2 linked regions of the Schizosaccharomyces pombe genome follow. Changing the gene in region 1 together with any one later gene gives a genetic interaction. Each region holds a gene or a part of one and is shown in the gene's direction. Other genes may lie near its edges.

The links.
Region 2: of rds1 (region 1) and toe2, changing one suppresses a phenotype caused by changing the other (phenotypic suppression), as found in Schizosaccharomyces pombe (one study listed by BioGRID).

Annotation. Positions count from the first base shown.
Region 1 is NC_003424.3:1,663,992-1,674,784, forward strand, and holds rds1 (protein rds1), read left to right. Parts: upstream 1-3,747; 5' UTR 3,748-4,079; coding exon 4,080-5,288; 3' UTR 5,289-5,631; downstream 5,632-10,793. Other genes in the region: SPOM_SPAC343.21 (uncharacterized protein), read left to right, coding at 2,796-3,272; SPOM_SPAC343.20 (uncharacterized protein), read right to left, coding at 5,632-5,973; glutamyl-tRNA amidotransferase beta subunit Gta2, read left to right, coding at 6,364-6,519, 6,586-6,822, 6,893-8,080; tif222 (translation initiation factor eIF2B beta subunit), read right to left, coding at 8,385-8,961, 9,008-9,398, 9,451-9,664; tit1 (tRNA isopentenyltransferase), read left to right, coding at 9,956-10,793. UniProt on the Schizosaccharomyces pombe protein: May have a function in stress-related responses of the cell.
Region 2 is NC_003424.3:1,011,836-1,030,387, forward strand, and holds toe2 (protein toe2), read left to right. Parts: upstream 1-9,834; 5' UTR 9,835-10,081; coding exon 10,082-10,972; exon of another isoform or gene 10,973-11,011; coding exon 11,012-11,959; intron 11,960-12,000; coding exon 12,001-12,039; 3' UTR 12,040-12,300; downstream 12,301-18,552. Other genes in the region: dnf1 (P-type ATPase), read right to left, coding at 1-3,493; post-transcriptional RNA stability regulator Mkt1, read right to left, coding at 4,531-4,834, 4,895-6,992, 7,034-7,040; oac1 (anion transporter), read right to left, coding at 7,777-8,739; fap2 (L-saccharopine oxidase), read right to left, coding at 12,341-13,642; ssd2 (succinate-semialdehyde dehydrogenase), read left to right, coding at 16,481-17,962; histone acetyltransferase Hat1, read left to right, coding at 18,395-18,452, 18,503-18,552.

The DNA of each region.
Region 1 (10,793 bases):
AATGTATATGAAAAGGAAGCAAGTATATGAGAGGAAGGAGCTAGTCAATGATGATAGCAAGTGGGTTGAATCATTGTTTAATTGAAATTTTTTGCAAAAACAATTTATTAAAAAGTTAATCAATGCGCTAGAGCGGTTCTCTAATCCCACTGAAAAAGAAAAATAGCAAAGAAACCAGTGATGAATCAATTATGCAGAACAGATGAAATACGTCGAGTTTAATTTAAAATAGTTTAGCAACAGGAAAAAGAATATGATAGATGGATGGAAATGAAGACGAATGAATTTTTAAAAAATTGAAGAGAAAAGAAAAATAATTTTAGGTGTAATCGGACTACTGAAAATAATATGAATGCTTGGTTAAATTAAAAAGTAATATTATGAAAAGAATTTGAATGGAATGAAAAGATGTTTGTTAACGGTAGTATTTCTATTATATTTTATTTTTTTTGAAAAAAAAAGGTAATAGAACAATTCGTATGAGGAGGAATAGAACCTCTTTCACTATTAAAACTTTGACGCAAGTTTACATGATTTACACTTTATAGGGTTGCTATTTTCAGACTTGATGGTACAAAAGACAAAACGTAAATTCAAAAATCGTAGGAATAATAAATGAAAGTTGTTTACTGCTGTGGGACATAAAAAATGGGTTGAAAGGTATGCCATACTATAAGTATTTGGTACTCAGAGGTTTGATGGCATGATAATAGTAAAAGAAGTGTTGAATTTTTTTTTTTTTTAGATAAAATTAAATCAAGTTGAATATTGTTATTGTCATTATTATTTTATTTTATTTTGTTTTTTTAATCATTGATTTTCAAATAGTACCTATTTACGTTTGCAAATAAAGGCATTTCACTTTAATATTTCTTTATGAAAGCATTTCTACATCAAAATCAAACTGCATGTGAATTCATTGGCAAGGTAAGGCAAGGCAAGGATTACGTCGAAATGTAGCTTGCTTACGAAGGTTTTTTGATAAAGAAAAAGAATGCATATGCATGATTCTTGGTCATATGAATGTGACACATCCGTCCATTCCATTCGTCGTTTTGTATGTCAAGTTACTTGCACATTGCCAATTCTCATCGTCGATCAACGCATTTCTACGTAAGTGATTCCGTTTAAAAATCAATGATTTCTCTTATCTATGAAATCACAGACTTTGTAAGACAGAGTTGAACGAGGCGAAATCGGCGGCAAAATAATATAGGAAGATTTATGGAAAAAAGGCTTTGTAAAAAATACAAGAAAAAAAAAAAAAAGGGATGCATTTAAAAAATAAATTCTAAATTTTTTAAATAAAATAAAATAAAATATGCACCAGAACCAAAAGTTAACAAAGACTACTGAATTGATGGGTACTAAAAAGAATGTCCCCTTTCTTACATTACCTATCGAGTCGGGGGAACTCGTCAAATCGGTGTGCTAAAAGCTATTTTGTATGTGTAGATCTGTATGTTGGCGATTTCTTTGAAACTTGCTCATAATGACGCTATGTGTGGTAGTTGACTATCTATCATATCTTAATGTTGGGCTTCATCTGATTAATCTGTACGAGAGCATGATGGCATTTCTTCAAGGCAAGACAAAATAGGATGATGATGATGATAGTAAAAAAGGAATTTTTTAGAAGGTTCACTTTATTCCTATTCCTATTCCTCTTTTTTTCCTTCAATTAGTTACAAAATATCATAAAAAAATTTACAGATTTTATTTATTATTATTAATTATTATTATTATATTTTTCTTTTTTTTTTACCTTGTTTTCCCTCCCCACGTCTCTCCTTCCCGCACATATATATCTATTTATACTTTTCCAGAACGAGACCACAATAACGTAATGCAGTGAAGGACAGGGTGGTACTTCCACCAAGAAAAAACGAGTTTGCCGAGAAGATTCACCTTCCCAACGCTTTGCGCAAAGCTTCCCTGTAGCTGGAATAGGGTAAACGGCAAAGAGAAACCCAGCAGAGGGGACCAACCAGAGAGGAATGAAAATTTTCAGGAGAGGTAGAAGGAGAAGGAGAAGCAGGGCGAGAAGGTGTTAAGTTTAAGTATATGCAAGAGTTGAATAAGAGGTGAACAGAGATGAGCAATAGTGAAGGGCATAGTAATACGGTGTGTTTGGGTTACGAGGAAGAAATGGATGAGAAGGAAATCTATTAAAATTTATTGAATTGATTTTATTTTATTACATTGGAGTTTCTTTTAGAATTTTTATGTTTCATTACAGTACGCCTTTTTTTTTTCTCTATGCTTTTGCTTATTTTTCTTTTCTTTTTTTTCAAGTTTTATTTCCTATATACTTATTCTAATTTATTGGATTTTTTTTTTATTAATTTATTTATTTATTTATTTTCTATTATTTTATATTATTTTTTATTTGAATTTTTCTGCCCCCGCCCCGAAACACGGCAGCTGTAACATACTTCCCGCAAATGCAATACAATGCAATGCTTGATCGTTCCGTAAGTCTGACGAAAAGATGGTCAAGCTTATTGACGAGTCGATGGATGGTTGCGATAAGACTAGCTATGCCGGGGAAAAAGGCCGCGCCTTTATACAATCATGCAAACAATCAATGGTCGACAGAACGATTAAATCAATAAAGTTTGAATGAGTTAATAAAGTCGATTCAGTCAAAAATTCAAAAAAAAAATATCAAACAGTCTAGTCTAATCAAATCAAATAATCAAGTTATCAACTAATTCAAAAAATCAAATACTTTAAGTAAATTAATTGTTTGACTGAATCGATTATAGAATCAATCACCAATCGAATAGATAGATATGGTTAGCTACAATGTGCTAACTAAACTGTTTTTTATTTTCTCCGGAGGTTTGGTTTTTTTTTTTTTTGAATTTTTTTTAAATCATTTCAATTACTATCCTACCAAACTTTTGTATTACATTACATTCTATTTCATTAAAAATCATCCTTCTCTTTTTCTTTTATTTAATTTTTTTTTGTCCACAGCATCTTTTTCCTATTCTTTTCCCTCAAAGTCTCATTTAACTTTTTACTCAAAAGGTGCTCCCTCTGTCTTTTTTCTATCTCTCAAATCTTCCCCATGTCCCGGGTACTGCTCCTCTACTCTACTCTACTCTACCTCTAACTTGCTCCCTTCCCTCCCCTCCCCCCTCCATGCTCCTCCTCCACTCGGCTCACGTTTGCTTCACGTTTTTTTTTACCGTAGATCAAACGCATCGGCGTATCCTTCTTTTACGCCCCGCTATTCTTTTTTCCCTTCTTTCACTTTACGATGAGCTTCTCGCTATCTTTCTTACGGTGCTTTCTTCGCCTTGCTCCTTCACGTGCGATGATGAAATGGATGCGACATTCTATTAACATCGGCATCGGCGATGGCCAGCTAGACTTTTCGTCGCGTCGACATGCAGAGGTTTGATAAATAAATGTGCGTGCGTGCGCATGGCATATTTCTTTCGATTTTATTTTCGTCAAAATCATCATGCGATGAATGCCACTGATTTTTCTTTGCTCGAATACTCTGGCTCCTCGTCATTTTCTTCATCGCAACATCATCGTGCGAATTTCGCATGCATGGCGCTCTCGGCTTGTAAATCCCTATGCTTGGGAAAACGTAAGGGTTGGAAGCGATGATATAGTACCAAGTCACACGTCAAGCTGAGACCGATATACGTTCCAAGCTTGAGCCTATGACATGGTACTTCCGTCTTTATTCTCGTGGTATATATAGATCGCATTCACTAGCCTTACTTTAGCCGTCGCAAATTGTGTGACTTTGTTTTGCCCTTGTTTAAGTAAGTAAGAAAAAATAAACGAGCTTGTCTTGTGAAATATCAAGCCTACCTCTCTCTCTCTCTCTCTCTGTGCTTCCCTGCTACTCTACTCCTAATACTACTACTACTACCACGTTTGTTAGTTGTAGTTTTTTTTGGTTGGATTGCTATTTTGAAAAAGACCTCGTTCGTCGCTTCTTTTTATATTTTTAATTTCTTTTCGTGTCGGTGCGTGTGGAAAACCTAGTTGATTCTACCTTACCTTAATAAAACACTATCGCCTCTTTTTTTGTATATCTATAAATCTATACAATGGTTCAAGCTCTTACTGCTTCTTTAATGGCCGGCGCTCTCTTGGCGCGCGGTATCATCGGTGCTAAGGCCGATCCAGTTAACTTTGCTGGTATTGGCGGTGCCGCTTACGAATACAACTACACTGCTACTGGTTCCTTTAATCAATCTATCATGCCTGCTAACTTTACTCCTGCTGGCGGCATCGATACTAATGATAGCAGCCCTACTTATCACCCTTTCAGTGACTTTGACTACCAGTCCTTGTCTCTCGCTCTATACCACGAGTACATCGAGTACGACCTCTTCAACTACGGTCTCACTAAATTCTCTGATGCCGAGTTTGACGAGGCCGGCATTGACGCCGAGTACCGTCACTTGATTCGCTTCATGGCCCAACAAGAAATCGGCCACATCGAGCTTGTCACCAACATGCTTGGCCCCAACGCCCCCAAGGCTTGCTCTTACCAGTACAACTTTGACACTGTGGGCTCCTTCATTGACTTTGCTCAAACCCTTACTAAGTGGAGTGAATCCGGTGTCTATGGTTTCCTTCCCCACCTTGACTCTCGCGCAGCAGCTGCTCTTTTGCTTCAATCCATCACCACTGAAGCTCGTCAACAAATGTCTCTCCGTCAATTACAAGGTCTCTTCCCTTACCCCGTCTGGTTTGAAACTGGCATTCCTCAATCCTTTGCTTGGTCCTTGATTGCCCCTTTCATTGTTGGCTGCCCTGCCGAAAACGAAAAGTTGGTTTGGCAAAACTTCCCTGCCTTACATTTGGTTAGCCCTCCTGTTCACACTAATTTCACCAACGGCTCTTTCCCTCAGTACCCTAACGGTACCTACATGTATCCCGCCGCTGTCTCCACCAACCGTACCTTCCCTCTCTCTCTTCCCGGACAAAGCGTCGAATTGGCTTGGGATGCTCCCGGTATGGCTGTCGGTCCTAACAGCTCCTACATCACTTCCACCTCTGCCGGAACTCCTCGTTATGCTGCTTGGATTTCCCAATTGAACGTTACTTACGCTCCCTTAAACATCACCGGCAACAACAGCGGTGTTACCTACCAACCCAGCTCTCACCTTTACAACGACTCTACCCAGCAAGTCATTAACGGTACCAACTTCTTGGTTCTCGTTGACGAAGCTATCCCCGTCACTCCCTTCAACATCACTGCCATCAACGAGCACGTTGTTGCTGGTCCTCTTGTTTACGAGTCCGGATAAGCGTCTCTATCAAGGCAAACTCCCTTAGTTGCACATGTACACATCATGTAGATGATTGACTCAGTTGATTGAGCTCGTTTGTATATGTGGCTAGGTTGGAGCCTTAATAATTAGACTCGCCTTACCATGGATTTATTTCATCAAAAATCATACTCGTTCACGATTCTATCTATTGGCCTGTCTTCTTTTGGTTTGGATATGTGACCAACATACAAAAAGTTTGGTACGTCTAATCCAGCTTTGACCAACAGTCTTATGATTTTTTTATGACTTTTAAACCCCTGGAAGCCGTCGGCTACTAGGAAACCTTTAAACATAAAGGGGGAATTCCTCCTTTTAATATTTATTCTCTTTTCGGTGAATCCAACATTCCATTATTTATTCGTAGTCTTTTGTATTTGATTGATTGTAGTGCGTATAAGTCGGCGTGGCAGTAAATGAGCTTAGTAAGAAGTGAAGTATGTAAAGTAATAGCTAAGTAGTAAACAAATTTCGAAAACTTGGTAAAATTTGTTGTAGCGTAAGTCAATGAACGGAGTAAGCAGTGTCTTGGTACATATATATATCTGACGCGATGGTGTACGCAAAAGATGGTGGAGGAGTGGCTGGTTGATGAGGAGGCTGGTCCAAAACTCGCAGAGTTGATTTCGTCATTCAATTGCAAAGGGAGCATTGTAACTTTCATGTTTGAATCAATTGCATGTAATTTAAAAAAAAATATAAGAGACGGTTGTGATTGGAATGTTTTTGTAAAAATTCCAATTTGCTCGTTTCAATTTTCAATACAGTGAAAGTTGAAAAACGTTAAAGTATCTTAAAATGGTCTCACTACCACGTCCACAGCTTTTGCATCAAAGTTTCCTTTTCTAATGAGCATATATATACAGTCAATAAATAATATTACATTAGTACATCACTTTTTCGATGTAAATAAAAATACCGTCTAAACAAAGAATTTCGTAAGTGAATATTATCGTTATAGCTTTTCGTTATATGTTACTATCGAGGAGCTCGACTACCGCGACGGATACTAGCCAAATACTGATATCCTACACTTCAATGGAAGCTATTTAGAATGTCTTTTGGAAGATGGGCCGCTTCCATTGGATTGGAAATACATTTACAACTTGCAACAGTGAAAAAGCTGTTTTCTCCAGCAAAGGTTAACCCTCTTGCACAGCCTAATACTTGTGTTGCGTATTTCGATGTGTCACTACCAGGCTCTATGCCGGTGAGTTTTTTTAGAATCGAATGCGTTTCAATTATCACAGCTTATTAACTTTTTATTTTTTTATAGATTTTGAATCCTGAAGCGTTAAAGTTTGCAGTGAAAGGAGCATTGGCACTGAATTGTGAGGTAGCGAATGTTTGCAAATTCGACAGAAAGCATTACTTTTATCCAGACTTACCTGCGGGATATCAGATTACGCAGAAAGAAATTCCTATAGGAAGAAATGGATTTATACCATTGTCGGCTGGTTTGGACAATGTTCCAGATACTCAAATCCCCATACAACATATTCAACTAGAACAGGTAAGAAACATTGTCAAAACAACTTTCCATATACTGGATTTGAAAAGTATTTTAACAAACTTATATTTAGGATACTGCAAAATCGACGTCTGCTAAAAATCCATCGCGAATCTTACTGGATTATAATCGAGCAGGAACTCCGTTATTGGAAATCGTCACTAAACCTTGCTTTCATGATGTCAATACTGTTTCTGCATTCTTGTTTAAATTGCAATCCATCGTTCGCTTCGCTGGAATATCTGAGGCGTTGATGGAAAATGGAGGGATGAGATGTGATGTTAATGTCTCAATCGCGCCAGTCATCTCTTCAGAAAATCTAAATGAACTTCATTTTAAAAACAACGGAGTGATATCAGTAGAGAAATCCATATCCCATTTCCCCCAATTAGGTACTCAGTTGGCTCGTGTTGAATTAAAAAATTTGTCAAATGTACGAAATGTAGTAAATTCAATTCGCCATGAAGTGGACCGACAAGTCTCTTTGGCAAATATGGGTGTTTCTTGGCCCTCAGAAACGAGGGGATTCGACGATATCACTGGTAAAACATTTCCTCTTCGTAATAAGACAACCTCCGACGATTATCTATTTCTTCCTGAAACCGATATCCCCCCAATCATACTTTCTCGGAGTTATGTGAATTCTGTCTTAAAATCATTACCTGCTCTGCCTGACGAACTTTTCCAAAAGCTTACAACGGGTTCTCATGCCATTAGTCATAAAGAGGCCCGTACATTATTAAGTGTGAAGGAATACTATCACTACTACAGAAATGCGTACCACCATATCGATTCTATAAGCCATGTAAATCAATCTTTGAAAGAGGATGCTTTACGTACCCTTCCATACTGGATCACTGTGGAACTAGTAGGAAAAGTTCGTGAAATTGACCCTTCCCCTAACATCAATATCGTTCCTCCTTTGCAATTGGCTGACATTGTACTTCTTGTTTCCAAGAAGAAACTTACAGCTGCATCTGCTAAACTCTTCCTTCGTTCATTGATAAAATCACCTTCATCGAAACCTATATCTACTCTCATCCAAGAAAAAAATTTTGGTACCATTGGCGATTCCGAGAAAATAAAAGCTTGTGTAGAAAGTGTTCTTAGTAAACATTCAAAACAATTTGAAGAGTTGAAAAATGGTAAAACTTCCCTTATAAAGTGGTTTGTTGGCCTTACGATGAGAGAGCTTCGAGGACAAGCAAGTCCCAAAGACATTGAGATGGAAGTGCAAAGCAGTTTACGAAGGGAAAAGTAATCAAATTGGTTTGTATATTAGTGGCCCTAGTTTTTTTAATTACTGCATATTTCAAATCATTAGACAATGAAAGGAAACTCGTTAAAATTCATAGTCCATTTACTTTAATTTCAAAGTTTTATTTTGCTGAGTTAATTGCCTGTATTACTTGCAACAGAAACCCACAGTTAAAAAAATTCAATCTAATGTAACCCATGTTATTTATTCCAAAATTTTAATATTTACCTAAACACGTGTAAAGAAATTTGATAAACTTGATTTAATAGGTAATCAATTTTCCAAGAGAAAATAGAATGCAAACTCTTTAAAGAATTGTATCGCTTGCATCATAAGTATCATTCATAATACGATAAAGGTAGGAAGGAGGATAGCCACCCAAATTGGTAATAAACAGATCTACTAGGTCTGGTGGGATGTAATCATAGTAAGGGTTTAAAATTTCAGCGCGGCTTATTAGATCACCTTCATTAAAGGACATAATTTTATCAGGTGAAGACAGTTGGATAATGGATTCTAAGTCATAAGGGTAAACAGGGCTAAGCTTATAAATACCCGAACACACCACTACGGGAGTAGCATGGTGCCTGGCAGCCTGAGCAACTAATTGGGCTCCACTATAGGTTACCAATCCTCCGTTACCCAAGATTGCATGCGTACCAAGTATAACTTTATTCACGCGTGACATGATTGCAAAAATCGTAGCATCAGATATAACAGTTGTATCAATACCAGCCTGAGCTAATCGCTTTGCCATGGCATGAGAACCTTTTTGGTTATTGGGAAATCCTTCTGCAACAATCACTGAAAATTTGCGTTTCTTTGCGGCAAAACGGAGAAAAGCTTCAACAGTTTTTGAGCAACCCTGAGTTAAAATAATTTCACTAAAAAGGTTAGCTAACTGATAAGATGTTTAGCATGACACCATACTTTGAATGCAAATGGTCCATTGATTGAACTTCAATATCAGTATTAATCTTGTCCAACTCATCGATTACATCTTGGATGCCAGATATGATCACAGCGCGCATATCCATGCCACCGGTGACCCTACTGTCACCGACGGTTTTACTATGTGTGGGAGACTCAAGAGTAGGACGACCTAATAAATTAAGCATAGAAGAGTACATCTGAACTGAAACAGGTTCGTGACTTTGAACCAATTTTTCGTTAGAGGGAATGTCTCTTTTTTGAGAAGGGCTAGAAGAGTTCGATGAAGAAACGATTAACTTCTCATTTTCATCAGCAGTCTTTAATAATTCTTGATATTCTTCGCGGATTAAGCGTAAAATTCTTCTAATAATATTTCCACAAGAAAATTCTTCACGGTTTAGCATGTAACACAATAAAAGAATATGATTCAAAATACATACCAGTAGGTTGAGCCTTGACAAGAGTAGATCCAACAGCACGGACTGTATCAATTAATTGATCAACTGTTGACCAGCGAGTTTGAGAAATCACTTGTCTCATTACCAGCGCCGTTTCAACGGCAACTGCAAAGGGGCCTTGTACCTTTCTTGACTTTAAGTCTGCTATCAAGCTACTTACAGCCGGATAGGTATGTTCAACATTAATAGTTGACATTTTCAGGCGATGGGAAACGACAAGTAGTGTTTACATGTTAATAACGAACAAATACGAACGCTGTAAAAATGTAATAACTTGTTTACAGTAATTAAAACATCGTTAAAGCATATACCGAAGTTGACGCCGCAATAAAGGAACGGGGATAGTGAACCAAAACAAAATGTAAGGTAAAATCAGTTGGTAAAGAGCCAGGCTTGCTTGGGAAAATTTGGGAAATGGATTTGTTAGTCTAAGCTTGATTCGGTGTGTAATCTATTGAAGATAAGGTAAAAATCTATATCTTATAAAATGTTAAAGCCCCTTTGCGTTGTCATCGGTACTACAGGAGCTGGTAAGTCGGATTTAGCAGTTCAGCTGGCGAAACGGTTTGGAAGCCAAGTCATTAATGCTGACTCGATGCAAATTTATCGGGGATTTGATACTATAACCAATAAAATTACTGTGGAAGAGCAAGAGAATGTTCATCATCGCTTGATGTCCTTCTTGAACTTTGACAAAGAATACAGTGTTCCCGAGTTTGAACGAGATGCCTCCCGCGTAATTGACGAGATTCACAGTCAAGGAAAGATACCTATTGTGGTTGGAGGGACTCATTATTATTTGCAGTCCCTTTTGTTTGAAGATACTACTTTGTCGGCTATTGATAAATTGACGAACGATTCATCACCTAGTAAGCCACCCCATCCGGACTCTCATATCTTGGATGATGATCCATCTGCTATGCTTTCGTATTTAAAAAAGATAGATCCCGTGATGGCTGAGCAATGGCATCCTCGGGATACTCGTAAAATTCGAAGAAGCCTAGAGATATATTTTCACACCGGTCGACCGCCATCTGAAATTTATTCTGAGCAAAAAATGAAGTCAAGTGGCTCTAAACTTCGATACAAATCTCTAATATTTTGGGCGTTCGCAGATTCTTTAGTCTTAATGCCGCGACTTGATAAACGTGTTGACAAAATGCTAAGCCATGGATTGGTTGATGAAATAAAAAGCATGAAGAGTCTTGCTGAAAGTGAAAAATTTTCTCCTGATTTCACCCGTGGGATTTGGCAATGTATTGGATTTAAAGAATTCATGCCATGGTTTGAAGCGCCTTCGGATATAGTCTTTAATGATTGTTTAG
Region 2 (18,552 bases), 650 kb from region 1:
GCTGATGAATCATCAAAGAAGCTGGATCATTAGTAGGAGGTCGATCTAATGACAGCCTTTGACCACCACTGACAGTTTCATCACTTCCTTCGACTCCATCCAGAGAGCCCATGACAACAACAGTTGAATATTCTTTTATTACGCCACAAGAATGACCAATATTGATTGCTGTTTCCTTTTTATCACCAGTTAGCATCCAGAATTTGATGCCCGCTCGGAAAAGTGAATTGATTGATTCTGGAACACCAACTTGCAATTTATCTTCAATTGCCGTAGCTCCCGCAAATTCTAAATCTTTTTCAATAAGGTCTGCAGCTTCATCTAAAAGTTGTTGCCTGTTGGATAGACTGTTTAACGCCGCATCATTCACCAACTTCCAAGACTGATACTCGCTTTCGTCAATGAAACGATGGGCATACATAAGGGTTCGTAGACCATCAGTTGCAAATGCATGAACATGCTCGAAAGTGTTTTCAAAAAGTTTGGCATCATTGTGGTTTAAGGATTCATATATTGATCCCTCAGCTTCTTCTTGTTTTGATAGATACTTTTTATCTTCCATCAGACGTTCACCGCCTGCTAATGAATGACGTCCAACAGCTGGTCGACGCCGGGTTTCAAGAATACTGGTGCTAGCACGGGGACGAACTACACCCATTTTCTCACGCCTTTCATCGAGCCAAGAAGTGACGTTGTTAATATAATCATTTCTGCGCCGAGACAAACTAGGTCTTGAAGCCGTTAAACTTGGCCTCGAAGTGCTCTGGCTATTCCGAATAATCGCCTTGTCTATTTCAATGCTTTTACGAGCCTGTTCAGCTTTGGTTACTGATTTGTCCTTCCGTTTGGCGAGGTTGGAAAGACGAAGTCGCTTTATGATCGCTGAATCTGCTCCTTTACAAAACAAACATATCCTTCCGTTAGGCATGCGTACGATAACAGACATACATTTCCGTTTGCTCGTAAATTCGATAATGTTCAGTATTCGGTATGTTTTGGCAATCGGGTGAGAGTGTGGGTCCAATGGATAATGCAATCGGATTGTCAAGCTGTCAATGTCTCTATCAATAACAATGTAACCTAGCTGTTGAGCTGCATGCACAAGAGCCAACTCATCTGGTGAAATGGATTGGTATTTATAAATTTGATTTTCTTCGTCAAAAGAAGGAAGGCAAGTATGACAAATCGCCAAATTTAAAAGAAAAATTCGTACCCGTTTTGAAAAAGTTGTATGAGGATTGTCATGTACATATTGAAGCAATTGAATAGTGGTACCCTGAATGTTCTCAAGCTGCGGAGGTTTGGCTTCACCATCAAGGTCATCACTCTTTTGTGATGTGGATACAAGCTTAGGATTTTCCGCGCCGACATGCTGCCATGCAAATCCGCCAACAGATAGATTACGAAAAAGCATAATATTATCGGTTAAGGTACCAGTTTTATCGGAGAAAACATGTGTAACCTGACCTAACTCTTCAAGGATTGAGGAACTTCGAACTTCACATCGAGTATCGTTTTCTGGATAGTACAAATCAATGTCACTTTGCACTAAAAATGTTTGAAAAACACGTATAATCTCCATAGAAACGTAAAGGGAAATTGGAACCATTGTATTGTAAAGAATGATAAAAGAAACAAGGATAGGAACAAATGAAAGTTTACTGTTGGTTAGATACCACAGCTTCCTTTCCACTTTTTTTTGCCAAACAAAATAGGCAGCAGTACAATATATAGCCATGCTAACAACCAATGCAAAAATGAAAATTACGATTCTATTAGTGACCTTTTGCATTGATGGTGCCTTTACACTAACGTTTCGAACAGCATTCATGCGAATTTTGGATTCCTCGCCAGTAAAAATAACCAAAGCGAACAATTCTGAAGTATTTCGCAAATTCGAGCCTCTGTAAAGAACATCGTTATTAGACAATGGTATTTCTCCTTGTATTGAGTCAAGTTTCATACTTCCATTAAAATTGTAAAGATCACCATTCGGGTCTTCAACAGTACACGTACCACTCAATCGTATTAAATCATTAATGTCTTTGCAAAGAGAGCGGAGCGTGGAGTTTACTAGTCTAGTTTTCAAGGATGTTTCACCATCAAGTGCAGCTGTTTCGATGTAAATAGCGCCATTAGGATTGGGACTCGACAAAGCTATTACGTCTGCTGGAAGAGTTTGATCACTTGTCAGTCGAATAATATCACCAACTCGAACATCTTTCCGATCACAGCTAGCCCAAAAAAAAGTAGGCTTATTTGCAGGTATGGAGCGAGTAGTAGTTAAAGTAGAGTTATACAAGGGGGGTTGCGGGTCAATGTTAGGTTTGACACTTAACGCCGGAGAAGAGGGGGAAGAGGGAGAGGGAGGAAGTTGAGGTGGATCTTCTGAGGTTCTTTCAGGTTCTCTTTCATCAGTTGATCGAATAGTACTCCTTGAAGCAGATTCTTGAGATCTACTTCTTCTCCACCGCCGACGACGAAAAAAAGATGAGTGCTCTTCAACAATAGGCGGATCTACATCAACGTGACGAAGAACTTGAGTTTGAATTCTATTTTCTACGCGGTCTTGGCGATATCGCCGATAATTATCAAACCCTTCACGAAGGATTGCAATTGAAATAAATATAAGTAGAGGGATGATTGTAGTGTAAGTACCGGTGGTTGACCAACCTGGAATCATTTGCATAATAGCAATCAGCAAAAAATAACAGTTGGCAGTTTTTGAAAATTGAGCAATGATCTGTAAAGGGACAAAATTGTATTTGTTGTACCGAGACGAAACAATGCTGTTTTGCATATAGGGCTTTCCTGTACGCTCATCAATTTGGGAGGAGTCATCGTAAGGGTTTATGATAATTATTCGACCATGACTCGACTTCAAATACCGTGTATCACGCGAAAACAAGTTGGATAAGAAATTGGAAATGAACTGCAAAGGATTTGGTATTGTAAACTCTTTATGCCGCGACTTTAAAAATTCCGGAGGAATTGGAGGACGCCCATTGAACACAGGTGATGCCTCACGAGGAGAAGTAGGCTCAATATCATCTAATGGGATTTCTTCCACAGGTCCCTCTAGGAAGGAAACATGTGCTTTCTTCTTTTTTCCCTTTCCTTTCGAGGTCTGCTCAGTTTTGGTAGATGGAGTTAACACTGAAACCATAGAATTAGCTGTCAGTTCTAATACCGACTTGAAAGATGATTTCAGTCTGCTATCTGATGGCGAATTAACATCGTGTGATTCGTCAACTTCAACAGAATCCAATTTTTTGCTGTCCCCATTTATATCAATTTCATCAAGCTCATTTTCATCAATTCCTAATGGAAGAGCGCTATCCTGAAATCGTACATGAATATCCTCTCTTCGTTCGTTAGTGCCATCATCTGCAGCGTTCCAATTAAATGCACCATCTTCTTCTCGATTAGTCGTTTCATTTAGAAAATTTGTTTCAAATCCATTGGAATCGCCTGCGATACCACTAGACTTCATAAGTGCATCTGAACAAATAATGTTGGTTGTTGCTAGATTCACACCAAATGGAAAATCAAACTATTATTTGATGGTAGCTTGCTGAACCACACGGGACATTGTGCTACGCCTTACAAAATGAGACTACACTAATAGCAGTTCATTAAAGTTAAGCTTAATGAACTCCACAGTAATGGCTTACGCTTGCTTAAGACTTTCTAAATAGTGTGTCAAGTCTCGCAATATGCAATGTAAACAATAAGTTACAGAGATTTTGATTAACTGTCAGTTACTTCAACTACTACCGTTTATATTTAAAAACTGACATTGTCAGAATTTTGTTAACTATCGACAAATATTATTAGATGTTAGTGTGAGAATTGGAGATTCTCAAAGCTAGCAAGTTGTCGTAAACAGCATCTATACAGTAAATATCTTAAAACAAAATTATACTATCCAGCTTGTAAGTGGTTAAACTAAGCAAGTCTTTCTGTAAGCACAAGGTTTTTAATTCGTGAAATTGATTAGGTAAAATTATGTTTCTGATGCGAATTCGGTTTTTTGTGAGTGAGCCAGTACACATAAACTAAAATCTAAAAAATCCGCTTGAACTTATCAAATAAGTTAAAAATTATTCCCATACTATAGTGTAAAAACAACGGTATAAGTTATTTTTTGACAGGTAAGTGTATTGCTAAAAATAAATATAGTATCCTTTAGAACAAATTAAACTATATCTATAAAAAAGTTTAAACATCATTGGGTTTTCATTCAAAGCTGTGCTTCTCTATTTTTCTTTCCCTTCCTTTTTTCGGGAAGAAACAATGTAGTTGAATATTAATATTAACAATACTTTACTTGTTCGAAATAATATCTCAACAATAATCAAGTGTAATCACATGAGTGTATAGCATGTTGAAAATGCTTCGACAGTATGAGGGAAAGTAATTCATGTAAATGTGCATTATGACTGTGCCGAATGTGTTAAAAGCTCCCGCTAAAAGAAGGATACTTCTCTCACTAATTTATTTCTATTCATAAACTACTAGTTCTGGTCTTCATAAGCCAAGAGAAAATATCCATTGGTTAGTAAGGAAGAGTTTACTTAAAACGAGCTTGCCAATGGCACTTGTATTTTCTGCTTCCTTAACCCCTTCCATAAAAGTTTTCCAGAATTCCAAAAACTGGGCAATATGGTTTTCCGCAGATCCAATGGTTGGGAATTCCTTTTCTATTATTTCATAAGCCTTCTGGATGTTTTCCTGTTGAGAACTGGCTTCTTGCTCTTTTGAAATGATTTCAAAAAAGCGCTTGACAACAAAACCTGAGACAAGGCTACCATTTATGTTTTGAAAAGGTAAGCTAAATTGGTTAGAAACTTTAAATATAAACAAAAAAGGAGAAAGAGAAAAAAACACGTACGTTTTTCGGATAAGTTTAGGATCTATTTTGCTTTTGTCGACGTTTCTGTTCAAGATGACCGAGGCAAGAATCATGGCCATGAGTTCCTTCAAGTTGGATCCGAAGCTAGTTTGTAGCTGATAAAACTGTAATAAATTCTCATCAACTATAGAAATTTTACTAACTTCAGGTCTCTGTTTTATTGGTAGAAATGTTGCAACCTTTGCCAAGAACTCTGTGGCAGAAGTTATGGATAAATCGGCGATGCTTGCACTTGAGGAGGAAAGTAAAGAGGGCTCTTTTAATTGTCTTAGTCTAAGAAGCTCGAATAAAACAACAACGGAAGTTTGGTTCTGTAAGTGACAATTTTCCAACGCTTTTAACAAGGGGCATCCCCAAGATGTTAATTGATGAGATGTTAAAACGAAAGATCTAATTTGCAAAAATCTGTAGCAAGAACTTAAGACGATTTCCGCAGTAGAAGACAGAGGATGCTTGGGAGGGTTTTTTATGCCAATATTACCTTCAGTGCAAAAGCTTTTCTTTACAAATACCGGATCGTTCAAAGCACGTAGTAGATCAAATAATACAACGGGTTCTTCCTTTAAAAAATTACTAGATAAATAACTCGGTAAGTTTTCTTCGTATATCATCCATGCTCTCGTATCATTATACAAAGGAGGATCATAGCTGTGCATTACCTTCAAAGAAGCTTGCTGATTATGGCCATGAAGGGAAACAATATCTCTGGCTTGGTAAAATCTGTTAAGCGGTTGGGTCAATAAATTTAGCCCCTGCGACCATATTTCTTCTAAATCGTCAACAAATCGCCGTTGATCCACAGCCGCTACAGCTGCTGCATTGTCGCGACCAGGATTTAAACCAGAATTAGCACCAGAAAATGTTCCTTGTGATGCTTTGTCACCAATATGTTGTTCAAGTATGGAAACAGGATCACTAAAACATCCAGATACTAAAGCACCTATCATTTTGCAAGGAATAAGACCGCGAGAAATGTAAAAATAAATCTCGTTGGGAAGACGGGTGCCAAAATATATATTTATGTCGTTAGGAACAGATTCTGTGGGAACTGGTGGTAAAGTGAGACCTTTTGTATCCATCACAATTCCAAACTTAGAGAAACAAACAGCCCTTTTGTACTGTTGAAGATAATCTTGAAAAATGGGCTGGGGAAAGATTTCAGCAAAATGAAGGACTGCACGATACGCAGAACCAAACATACGAACAAGCTCCATTGCGCTTTTAATTAGAAAAGTACCCTCAATCTGAGGAAATGTAGGAGAAATAGCAGTACCACACAATAAACAGGAATCGATGAACTGCTGCCATGAAAGGCCGTTCGTGTCTTGAAGAAGGGCATTTCCATCTAACCATGTGAATGAACTTTTAGCGGCCGAATTGATAGTTGTTTGAGTTGATGGGGATGAAGGGTCAGATGAGATTTTAACGTTAGAAGATGTGTTCATAGAAGTAATAAATTTTTTAACACCAAAAAGAAGCAGATCCGTGGAACCATAGATGGCATCGATGTAAGGTGAAGATGTGCCGTTTAGAAAATATGCTAATTGAGCCATAGCCAGATACGGGGCGACAAAATACTCCACATTACATTGATCTAAGTAAAACTTTACCTGGTCGCAAAGACGATCTAAATGATCTCGCTGATTGGTGTACAAAAGTGTTGGTTTACTTTCGCCGTAATTCGCAGGACCACTTGCGTCCATGCGGTACATATTACGCTGAATATTTGCATCATAAGGATCAAAAGCTTCGAAATCTGTCAATGCACTATGACTTTTTTGCTTTCCCGGCACTTCCAGCTGGCTGCTGGCTTCAAAGGTAAGAGGTATACCATTGAAAACAAAAATGGGTGTGATATTCTCAGTTCTCAACTGCTCAAGGAATTCCGAAATTCTGTGTTGTAGATATTCGGATTCACCATTTACTGCCAAACTTTGAAGTTCCTGTGGGGTAAAGGAATGAATAATTTGAGTCAAGTAAAAACTTGCGTCAATACCCAACTTACAGTTTTGAAAACTGCTCAAGCTAGATTTATGTTGATGCTTTTTGTCTATGATAAACAAATTCAATGAACGAACTAAAAAATTAGCAGATGAGTAGCAAGGTATTTTAACTTACTTGTCATTTTTTTTCTTTTTTTTAACTGAATTTACCAAACAGCAGTTTAAACCGTAAGGCGGTTTTTTTTTACTAAACCTTTAATAGATCCTTAAAAACAAACAGATTATTTTTATATGTAACGGATATATTCAGATTTTATTATGTTGTACTGAATAGAGGTGTCCGATCCGTTTATTAGAGTCAGCAGGAACGAGCAAATTAGTGAACACGAATACTACGATAAGAAGTTCAGAAAATATTTTATTAAACTAACATGATTTATCTAAAAAACATATAACTGTTGGCGAAATGTAAAGATTTCAAATAAAAACGACGCAAAATGAAGAAATTTATCCATTGTGACTACACAAAGCGGTAATGTTTCCAATCTTTAATTATAGAGAAAATAAGTATATTAATAACTAAATAAAAGGTAAGTTGATATACAAACGCAGCCAGATGCCTGAAATCCAAAAACAAATACGTACATATATTGAGATAACTGACGGATATATATTACAAAAGACAAAAACATGCCGATTGATCAAAAACAGCTTGAAAAGAAAAATCGACTTTTAAATGAAAGTAGAGTGGAAATAAGTAACGAGACAACGAATGTAAATAAAAATCGTTCTTAGATACAAACATCATTTCTTTACAATTTAACTGTTCACTTGATATACACCAAAGCCACTGGGGGTTTTTATGGTTTAGTACCAAAATTATTTATAAATAAAGAAACGTGCGTTTGAAAAAACAACTTAATCCTTTTGGAATTTCAAAAAGAGTTTATTGGTTTGCTCCACGAAGGTAAGACAGAAAATTGTGTGAGGAGCGATTCTGGCCAAGTGAGCACCAAAACCCTTATATAAGGCAAAGAATCCTTCAGAGCGGATTGTTTTAAGGATGCAATCAATCGGATTTTTATAAAGCTCCTTGTTCTTTTGGTTGTACATACGAGTCATAACAGTATCGAAAATTTGCATGGTGCAGCATACACCAAATCCAGAAACAGCACTAGCAGTTAAGTGTTTGATCATACCCTCTTCCAATAGATTGTAATGCTCAATCATGCGTTTAGCCCAATTATAGATAGGAAGCTGAACAGAGGAACCAGAGACAGTACGGAGAATGGCAGCATCAGCACCAACAAACAAACCCTTAACACCATTTTCCTTAATAATACGACTGAATGCATTAAATATATGCTTGTAACCATACTGCTGGCCAACGGGAAATTTAGGAGAATACGACTGCATGCGAGTCTTAACCAAGAAAAAGGGAGAGCCAAACAAGGCACCACATAAACCTGAACCGGCGCCACTTGCAACGTTAATAGCTAATTTATTACCCTTGGGATCATCAAGGAACCACGTATTCAGAGTACGTCGAATCGGTTCGTAAAACCCGAGACGACAGCCATTGAGGCAGATTTGATAAACATAAGCAGTACCAAGGCCTCGTTGAAGACCTCTTATACCTTCATGTCTAGCGATTAGAGAAAATGCCTGACCGACGCTTTTGTAAATTCGCTTAGAAGGATCCAATTTTGTCAATTGACCTTGAAGTTGAAAACGCGTTTTAATAACTTCGAAAGGATTTGTCAGTGTTACAGCACCACAAGCTGCAAGACCACCTGACAAAAATCCACTAACGGGACCAAGTTTTTTCACCTGAGTAGGATTGTGTGCAGGAAGGGCTTTGATAGTTTGTTTCTCAGACATGACTTAATATTGGGATTTTTTCTTCGAATTTAAACAAAAAAATCTGCCTCAAATGGCAATTCAATTTGCGTAGCAAGTGTTGGCCGAAGGAAAAAGAATTCTTGCAGTTGAGATTTTTTCAGTGATAATAGCCTTGATTAAATTGTGCGCGGAAAATTTACCATTGCGGCAATTTGGGAAGGCAAAACGTAACTTTCGTACGGACTCAAAAAATAAGCAAAATGATACTAATAAAAAAATTATAGATTGAATTGCAATTTTTTTATTTACAAGGCACCCTAATTGCTCTATACTTTTTCCATTTTAATGCTAAATTAAACAGGTCACATGTTACTTATGTTTACTATTTGAAAATACAGATACTAGAACGCACTTAACCTCTTTAAATTAAGGATTTACCTACAATCATATATATTTTTTTTTTCTTTCTCTGTCCTACAAATATTTGGTAGAATTTTAAAATTTTTTGAATAAAAGTCATTTGAAAGTTTGAGTAATGTTTGTCAACAATAAATGCGATCGTTCGAAGGAAGGAAGGTACACACAGTTAACATTTAACTGACTTTACACTTTAAAATAGGATTCGTTGGAAACGCATGGTAGATAATGTTAAAGTAAGACAAATGCAAAATCATAGTAGCAGTAGCTTTAGATGTCATTCACTTCTGCAATGTTGTACTATTATAAAGAAAATGCCATAAAGTGATTCAAATAAGTGCATGCTCTCAACCGTCTACCCTTAACCAAAGTTCTTACTCAGACAATTAAGATGCCTTTTAGTAAGATTTTATACATACGGGGTATAAATTGTGATCAATGAAAAAAATGCAAGTACTAAATTTGATGGATAGTTTGTCGCAAGGCAGGCAATTGAATTTTGAAATAGAAATCAGTCATATTTAAGAATGGTAATTTGTTAGTAAATGCATTAAATCCCTGTGTAAATTATATGTTTCTATTTGAGTGCTTTACGTATCTAACGCATGTTATCCGAAAGCTGTCTGCTGTTGAGATTGCTTACTATTGAAATTAGTGGATATTTATAAAAGTTGTCCAGTGTGCCTTGTGTTTGGTGTTACGAATTTACTTTTCGCCAACATCCAAACACAAGTGTCTTTGGTTCAAAATCAGTATAGCAATAAGATTTAAAGATATAATTCTTGCCTATTTAAAGCCAAGACTACTTTTTTATATATTACGGAATTAACTTCTTTTCGCTCCTGTCAATTGGTCGCAAGTATCATTTTTTTGACGTCTATTGATTCAAGAATTAGAAGAATCTAGCATTCAATTGTACTTTATCTTTCACAATATTATATAACTTGATGTTTAAGAAGAGCATATGAGTGAAACAACCAAGTCTGGTTCTAAAAAATCAGGGCAGACATCACGTAGGGCGATCCATTCGTGTTTGGCTTGTCGAAGAAAAAAACTTAAATGTGATCATGGAAGACCTTGTTCCAATTGCTTAAAGCGATCAACAATCCAGTCATGTATTTATATAGATCCTGGGAAAACTAATTATGACAAGCGCTTTGAACGGGGTAGCGAAGCTGACGAATTGATAGATCAGTTACTATCCCGAGTTAGCATGCTGGAAAAACGTTTAAATGAGGTCGGCACTAAATCGCAATCTGATTATGAAAACCAACAATCTCATAATCTTCCTTCCACGCCTTCGGCAGATGCTGAGACACAGCGAAACATTGGTTCTCTTTCAGTATTAGATGATACAAAATCACAATATGCTAACTACTCGTCCTCTTCACACGTACTCTGGCATTTAAGGAATTATCATTATCTTAACTTAGATCAAGATATTCAAGAAGAAAACGATTCTCTGATTAGTCCGTTTTTTTTTCGAATATCCCCCAATGAATCTGCATACGACTATTTACCCCCCAAAAAAGTATCGGATATTTTAATTGAGCAGTTCTTTTTTCGGTGTCATATGCTCATTAATGTTTTACACAGACCAACTTTTTATGTACGATATAATGATTTTTGGGAAAAACCGCACTTGCGAAAACCAGCTTTTACTAGTTTATTATACGCAATCTATGCTAGTGCATTACTAGCTACACCTGTTGAAGTGCAAAAGACATGGGCGCTTGGTGAAGACGAGAGATATCTTCAGGTAGATTATCATCAAGCTTTTCGCTACGCACTGGCTTCGTCTAATTTTCTGTTTGAACCAGATCTTAATGCTTTGCAAGCTCTTGTTCTTTGTCAGGTTTGTGATATTGAAATGGGTTTAACTAACTCAATTTAGGTTGTCTTTGATTCTGACCGCATTCGCGCTCCACCTTCCTTAGTCGGCTTGATTCTTCACGTAGCGCTATGCATGGGCCTTCACAGAGATGGCTCGCTTTATGGACTTAATCCGGTAATTTCCGAGATTAGACGTCGTGTGTGGGCGAATATAGTCTTGTCGGATCTTAGAACTTCTGAAACTATTGGTTATCCTCCTCAAATTGTTGAGGGAAATTATGATACACGTCTTCCCTCTGCTTTACCTGATGAAATTCATAATGTAGATTCTTCCGTTATTATTTCTGAGGCCACTTTTGTTAACATTATCACGAAGGTTTCACGAGCATATTCAAAGTGTTTGAAAGTTTTGCTAGGCATTATAGCTCCTAATTATACACGTTTATTAGAGCTTGACAGGGAGCTTTCCAATTTTTTTAAAGAATTGATAGAAGTGAATATTCCAACTAGTAATACTATGCACGAACGGCATATTCGACTTTTAGTTTCCTATTTGTCAAACAGATTCCCAATTCTCTTGCATTTTCCGTTCCTTTTAAAAAAAAATTCTGCACAATTCGCCTACAGTCATTCGCGTGCTTTGGAGTCCGCGACTCTGGCTTTAAACCAGCTGTACGAACTAGGCAGCAATCCAGAATACTCAAAGTATTCATGGTATCTTTGGAGATATCCGCCGTTTCATCCCTGCATCGTGCTTTTGCTCGATTTACTAAATTCTCAAAAAATCATTTATTTGGATGATGAACGAGTTGTTCTTTTAAACAAAATATTTTCTCTTTTTCCTCGCAGTTCTGGTAAAGAGCATTATCAAAAAGCCTGGGCACTTTTACAAACTTCAAGGGCAAAAGTTTGGGAAAAGCTTGGGTTGAGCACTGTCGACGTATCGACCACTGATGTGAGGCTTACAAATTTTGAATTTTTTGATGCTAACAATCTTGATATCAATTGGGTATGTATTATGTGTTTGTGTTTCCAGCTAACAACTGCTAGGATGATTGGGATGCTATATTTCAACATTGTCCATTCTAAAGCTTATTGCAAATGTCTATTTTTTATTATTTTATTTCGTCACATTACGCGCCAATTTTGTATTTAAAAATTTATTTATGCCAGTTCTTACAATTACAGAACAACTACGTCCGCTAAAGCGATAAGGTTAGTGAAATGTCAACTGGTCAGATTTAAAGAGTTATTTACGTTTGTTTGTTGTCTTATAATACGCTGTAGTTTATCTATCGAAAATAATAACATAATAAACAGATAGTTAAATATATAAATGCAGCAACAAAACTGTGAGTAAAACTATAGGATATAAAACAAAAAATTAAACTCACTTGTCGTAAGTAAACTCTGCATCCTTGTAATCTATCAAAGAGCGAACACATCTCCATTTCAGTTCTGAAGCTTTATCATCCTCTCTCCAACGCCATGCATCTTTCCATTCTTCAGATAAATCCCCTAAAATACGTTGTGCTATGTATCTGCCAATATTGGGAAGAAATTTGAAAGCATGTCCGCTATCTCCGTTTGCGACAAAAACGTTATCAAATTGAGGGACCTTGTCAATAAGGAAGTTTGCATCTTCGGTGTCAGAAATCCAACACATCTTCGTGTTTATCAGGCTGCGGTCTGCAAGATCAGGCAAAAAGGTGTCAAGGAAACGGCGCATTTGAATAATGGCATATTTTGGTAGACTACTTTTAGATGGTCCGGAATGAGGAATGGAAACAACTTTTGAGTTTTCGTCGTAGTCGGTCTCAACGTTACATACGTATTCATATCCGGTGCTGGCCAATTTTATGAGCTTTGTCACAGGATAAGGAGGGAAAGCATAAGCGCAATCTGGATCAAAAATAATAGGCATATTTTTGTAAGTCTTAAATTCTTCATCGGTTAGCTGAATATGCGCGACCGGTAAACCCTTAGCACAGACACGATGAGAAGTATTTAAATAAGCGTTCAAATAAGCACCAACAGCTAGTAAAATAGTATCAGCATGATATATAGTACCGTCCTCTGTTTGTACTGATACATGATTGTCGTTTTTATCAATATCAGTTTCGGAATGATTGACCACAAATTTTTTGAATTTACCGGCTTTACCAAAAACAAACTCAACTCCTAGCTCCCTAGCCTTTAACTCAAGTAATTTTAGAGAAGCAGCTGAATTCGCATAACCAGCGTGTTCATTTACGACAGCTTGCATGTCTGAGCGCAGCGGTGAATTAGAAAAAAGTGAAGGATATTTTTTTCTTATTTCTTCTGAACTGGAAAGATTAATAAGAGCAGAGTCTCCTAAAAGCTTTCTCAAGTTTCGTTGGGCTACCTCATCGAAACGAGCTCTGTATGGGTCTTTGGAAATGGTGCTTAAGCGGCCGCATTCGAAATAAACAGAGGACAATTCTGGGTCATTTCTCCATTTTTCCATTGCTTCCAACGCCAATTTCATATACTTAAGATCTGCATATTCTGGCCGAACAATCTTGTTGATATCGTTTGCTGCAGACATGCTGGAAGGAACGGGTTCGGCATCAATAGCAATGATATTATCAAAGGAATGATTTTTTGCCAATTCAACTGCAGTTGAAAGGCCAAAAACTCCACATCCAACTATGACAATGGTTCTCGACATGGCTCAGTGGGTACTTGATTATGGCTAACGGAATGAATAAGGGAGCCATCAACCTCGTGGTCTATGCAATGAACAATTTTAGCATCCAGGCTTCTCGCAATAAATTTATATCAATCAGTCACAATGAGAACAATATAGTGTTGCAAAGATATTGATTGATTGATTCATTAGCAAAAAAAGAAGCCTTCATTCAGCTAGATAACCATGTAGTAATCGGTTCCATTTGATTTTGTAAGAAAATGGTTAAGAAATTATCCTCAACATAGGGTAAGGTACATAACAAAGATCAAGCAATTCGACCAACAAAGGAAGCAGAGATGTCTCAGAAATTCTTCATTATTTGAATCTCCAATTTAATGCATTATTAACATAGGCACGTGCTATTCGTTTTAACAATTATTTAGGCACAACGGTATTGGTGTTGCTGGATTGAGCGCAAAGGATGCAAACGTAATGCTGTGCTGCGTTATATGTTCCAGCTGATAGTTTTAAAAGCCTAAGTTTCTTTATTCGACCTGCAAATGCCAAGTTGCGTTACTGTATTATAAATTTTGGACTGATTCAGCTCTGGCTTTATGTTGATCTGATAAACCGAATGAGCTAGCAGGATTGCAGCATTCATTATGCTGTTTCCTCGTCCTCACAGTTAATATTAACTATCTTCTTCCTTATTTGGCAAACCAGTAAGGCATCACAATAATCCGCTTTCCATAAACAGCGGCATATGAGTTGCAGAGCTTTGTTTACCAAATACTGTATCGTAACGAAGAGCAAGAATAGAGGGCTACGTAATAAAAAAATCGCCGCTGTGCTAATGCAATCGTTACGTTTCATTTAAAAGCATCAATCCATATCGTTATACTAAATCAATGTTTACAAAATTCGCAGAATGTTGCTAAATTGTAATGCAAACAAACTATTGTATTAGTAAAATATTATCTTTTTGTATGTCTGGTTCATGAAAATCTCTAGAAAAAAAAAGTAGTAAATTTTTCTTCCACCTTAATAACCTAACCTATGTGTCAATAATAACCCAAGTTAGTCTCGCATTATGATTTCAGTGTGACATAAATCGACTTTTGTCAGTTAAGTGATAGTTAAAAAATAATTAAGAAATTTATGAATTGTTGTTGCATGGAAAATTTTCTTGGCACACCAAACATATGAAAATTCGTTTAATGATTTAACTGCCGTCTGTCTGAGTTTAAGAAAATAATAAACCTTAGCAGAAACCAGAAGTAAGAAAAGAAGGTATGTAGCATAGAAGATTCACAGACATAAAGCCGATATAGCTTTGTATGACAATGAAAATTTAATGGCAGGATGAGAAATAGCAAAATAAATCAGGTTTGAGCTTTTTTCAATTGTTGCGCATGTCCAATTTTATTTTATTTTTTTTTGTCAAATTTTTAATTGATAAAATAAGATATCACCAAAAATAACGAGTATATATTGTCGATCTTCATTCTTCAAAAGTGATAAAACATTACAAAGATTTATTCAATGTTAATTTTGTAAGCATTTTCATGTTATGGGATTTTTAATCATTTACTTGTTTTTTATTCGATACTACAGATTAATGTTATTTGCATGGTAAATTGTATAGTATTACTTTAAGCGCCGATCAGTAATAAAGAAATTTTAAAGAAATTATCGATTCTTTCATATTCTTCCAAAAATTACGTGCCCATATCAATCGGACATGCTTCTTCCATTGCTGCACTGAAAAAAAAGCCATTGTGTATTCGTAAAGCAGTAAAAAATGGAAACATTGCGATTACAAAATTTTAAAACTATGTAAACAAACGGTGAATGCACTGTATAAGATCCATGCAGCATATACCAATTGAGTTTTTTATTTTTTTTTGGGTACTATATGATAATTGTCAACTTTAAAATAAAAGTTGGACACCATATGAATAAATGAATTTTTAAAATTAAATATGAAATAAAATATATGGAAAAAATACGAAAAAAATTGATGGTAAATAAATTAATTAAAATTAAATTAAATATGTAACTTACTATACTGATAACTTTAATAATCGTTAGAAAAGCAAGGAAAAATTAAGCACGGATACCACAAATGTTTAATTTTATTTTTTGATAAAAGTTTCAATACTATTTTAGTTATTTATTTCACTCCAATTATGTCGCTAAAAAAAAAAAAAAAAAAAAAAAAAAAAAAAAAGAAACCGCATTAATACAAAATACATTTTTTAATATGAAAAGCGAAGCGATTTTACCCACTGTTCTTTTCATACTCATTCACAGTAGCTGTAGCTTATATTACTGCCATTCAGTATAGTAAAGTCGGTACATATTCACATATGGTGGCACTCAATTATATGATGTAAAAAATGCAATTCCACCAAGTTCGCTATATACATCATTGAAGAAGACGGGAGCCGTAAGCTAACAAACCAGACACTATGATTTATAAGTTAGTCTGCCGATATTTACGCAAATTCAATACGCCTTTCTTTTTTTCCAGGGGAAATGTTTGCATACACCAAGAACATGATGTTGAGACGTAAATCTAGTACGGAAAACCAAGATGCATACGTTATGGTTTGATCATTAAATGTCTTGTTGAAAAATTATAAATATGCATCGTTTCTCTCGATGTTTACACTACATTAAAAAAAAGAAATCTGCAGCTTAATTTGAAAACACTAAAAAAACCTGCATTCTTCTTTTTTCCACGAAAGATCTGTTGCTGCTTACGCTATTATTTGTTATTATTATAAATAATAATAACATTTCTATCGATAACTTCGTTTCATATAGTTTTTAACATTTACTCCTTCCCACTTTTTTGTATAATACTCTTCAAAAATGGCCCCTCAATTCAAACGCCCTGAGCTCTTTGGCTTTGATAAGTCTCATGCTCAATCTTTTGTTCAAGGAAAATGGATTTCTTCTCCTAACAACAAAACTTTTGAGGTTGATAACCCAGCTACTGGTGAAATAATCGGTAAAGTGGCCGATGTCTCAGTAGAGGAAACAAAAAAAGCCATCAGTGCCGCTAACGAGGCCTTCAAAACTTATAAAAATTTTACTCATGTCCAACGTAGTCAGTTATTGGAACGCTGGGCAGAGCTTATTATGGAGAACAAAGACGACTTGGTCAAGATGCTTACCTTAGAAAACGGCAAGCCTTTGAGCCAAGCTGAGATGGAGGTCACCACATGTAGCGGATATCTTAAATGGTATGCTGCTGAAGCCGTTCGTACCTTTGGCGATGTAGCTCCTTCCAGCTTACAAAGTCAAAACTTTCTCATCTCCATCAAACAGCCAGTTGGTGTCAGTGCCTTGATTACTCCTTGGAACTTCCCCGCCGCCATGATTGCTCGTAAAGGTGGTGCCGCTTTGGCTGCTGGTTGTACCGCTATTTTCTTGCCTGCTTTCCGCACTCCCTACGTTTGCTTAGGTTTAGTCAGGTTGGCGCAAGAGGCCGGTTTCCCTGACGGTGTCTTAAATGTGATCACTTCTTCTGATGCATCTGCTCATGGTAAAGAACTGACTACCAACCCTATCGTTCGTAAGGTTTCCTTCACTGGTAGTACTAATGTCGGTAAAATTCTTATGGGACAAAGTGCCAGCACAATCAAGAAGGTTTCAATGGAGTTAGGAGGTAATGCCCCTTTCATTGTATTCCCTGACTTCCCCATTGATCAGGCTGTCGAATCTTTCTGCACTATCAAGTTTAACTCTTGTGGTCAAGTTTGTGTCTGCCCTAACAGAGTTTACGTTCACAAGAATGTTTACGACGAATTCGTCAGCAAGCTTACCGAAAAAGTCAAGACCATTAAAGTAGGAGATGGATTTGACTCTTCTTCTGCTGTTGGCCCTTTGATTTCTCAAGATGGATGCAAAAAGGTCAGCAAGCACATTGAAGATGCTGTTTCAAAGGGTGCCAAAATCACTGTTGGTGGAAAGGAGATTTCCTCAAGCAAAGGTTATTTTTTTGAACCAACCGTGCTCTCCGGTGTAACTCAAGACATGTTGGTTGCTAGCGAGGAAACATTCGGCCCACTCGCCTCTGTCTTCAAGTTCGACGACACCGAAGAGGTGATCGAATGGGCTAACGACAGTGATGTTGGCTTGGCCGGTTACGTCTTTACCAATAACTTGTCCACAATGATCCACGTTGCCAAAGAACTAGAGGTGGGTCTTGTAGGTGCCAATATCGAAATGGTTGACGAACCATTTATTTCCTTTGGCGGCATCAAACAGAGCGGTTTTGGCAAGGAAGCCGGTCGTTTGGGCGTTCAAGAATTTATGGTGGTTAAGGAAATCAATCTCAAGACTCTTTAAGGATTTTCGCTTTAGAAAGCTGCATATTATTGAACAAGCAATGATGTCCTCTTTTGGTTAATGACTAAAAAATCCTGATGTTATGACTGTTTTACATGTTTGCGATACAAATCGTATTTTAGTTTAATGATATCAAAAAAATTTAATACCTGAACATCGTGGGTCATCGATGAAGAATGGATTGTTGTGTCAGAAAATCTATACTTGTAGTTATTGTTCTGAGCAATCTGAAAAGTTATAAAGAATTGTAGGTTCTAAAATTGGCAATACTGGAGCTAGAAATCTATATAATAGTAAATATTTTTTAATAATAACAGGTGTAGCACGTGAAATTTTGCGTCGCCTTGTAGTTTGTTACTTCCAACTAGACACATGTATTTTTTGTTGTTTGACTTGAAATAGGGTCAGGTATTCAATTTTCCGTATGCAGTGATGAGTGCTGTTGATGAATGGGTACATAATGCCAATGAATGCATAGAAATTGTACAAGGTATGCTATGTTAAATTATAATGTTTTTACCTTGTGTTAACACCTGTCAGTAAACGAAAAGCATGAAAAAGATTGTCAATACCATCCTAGCAATACATAT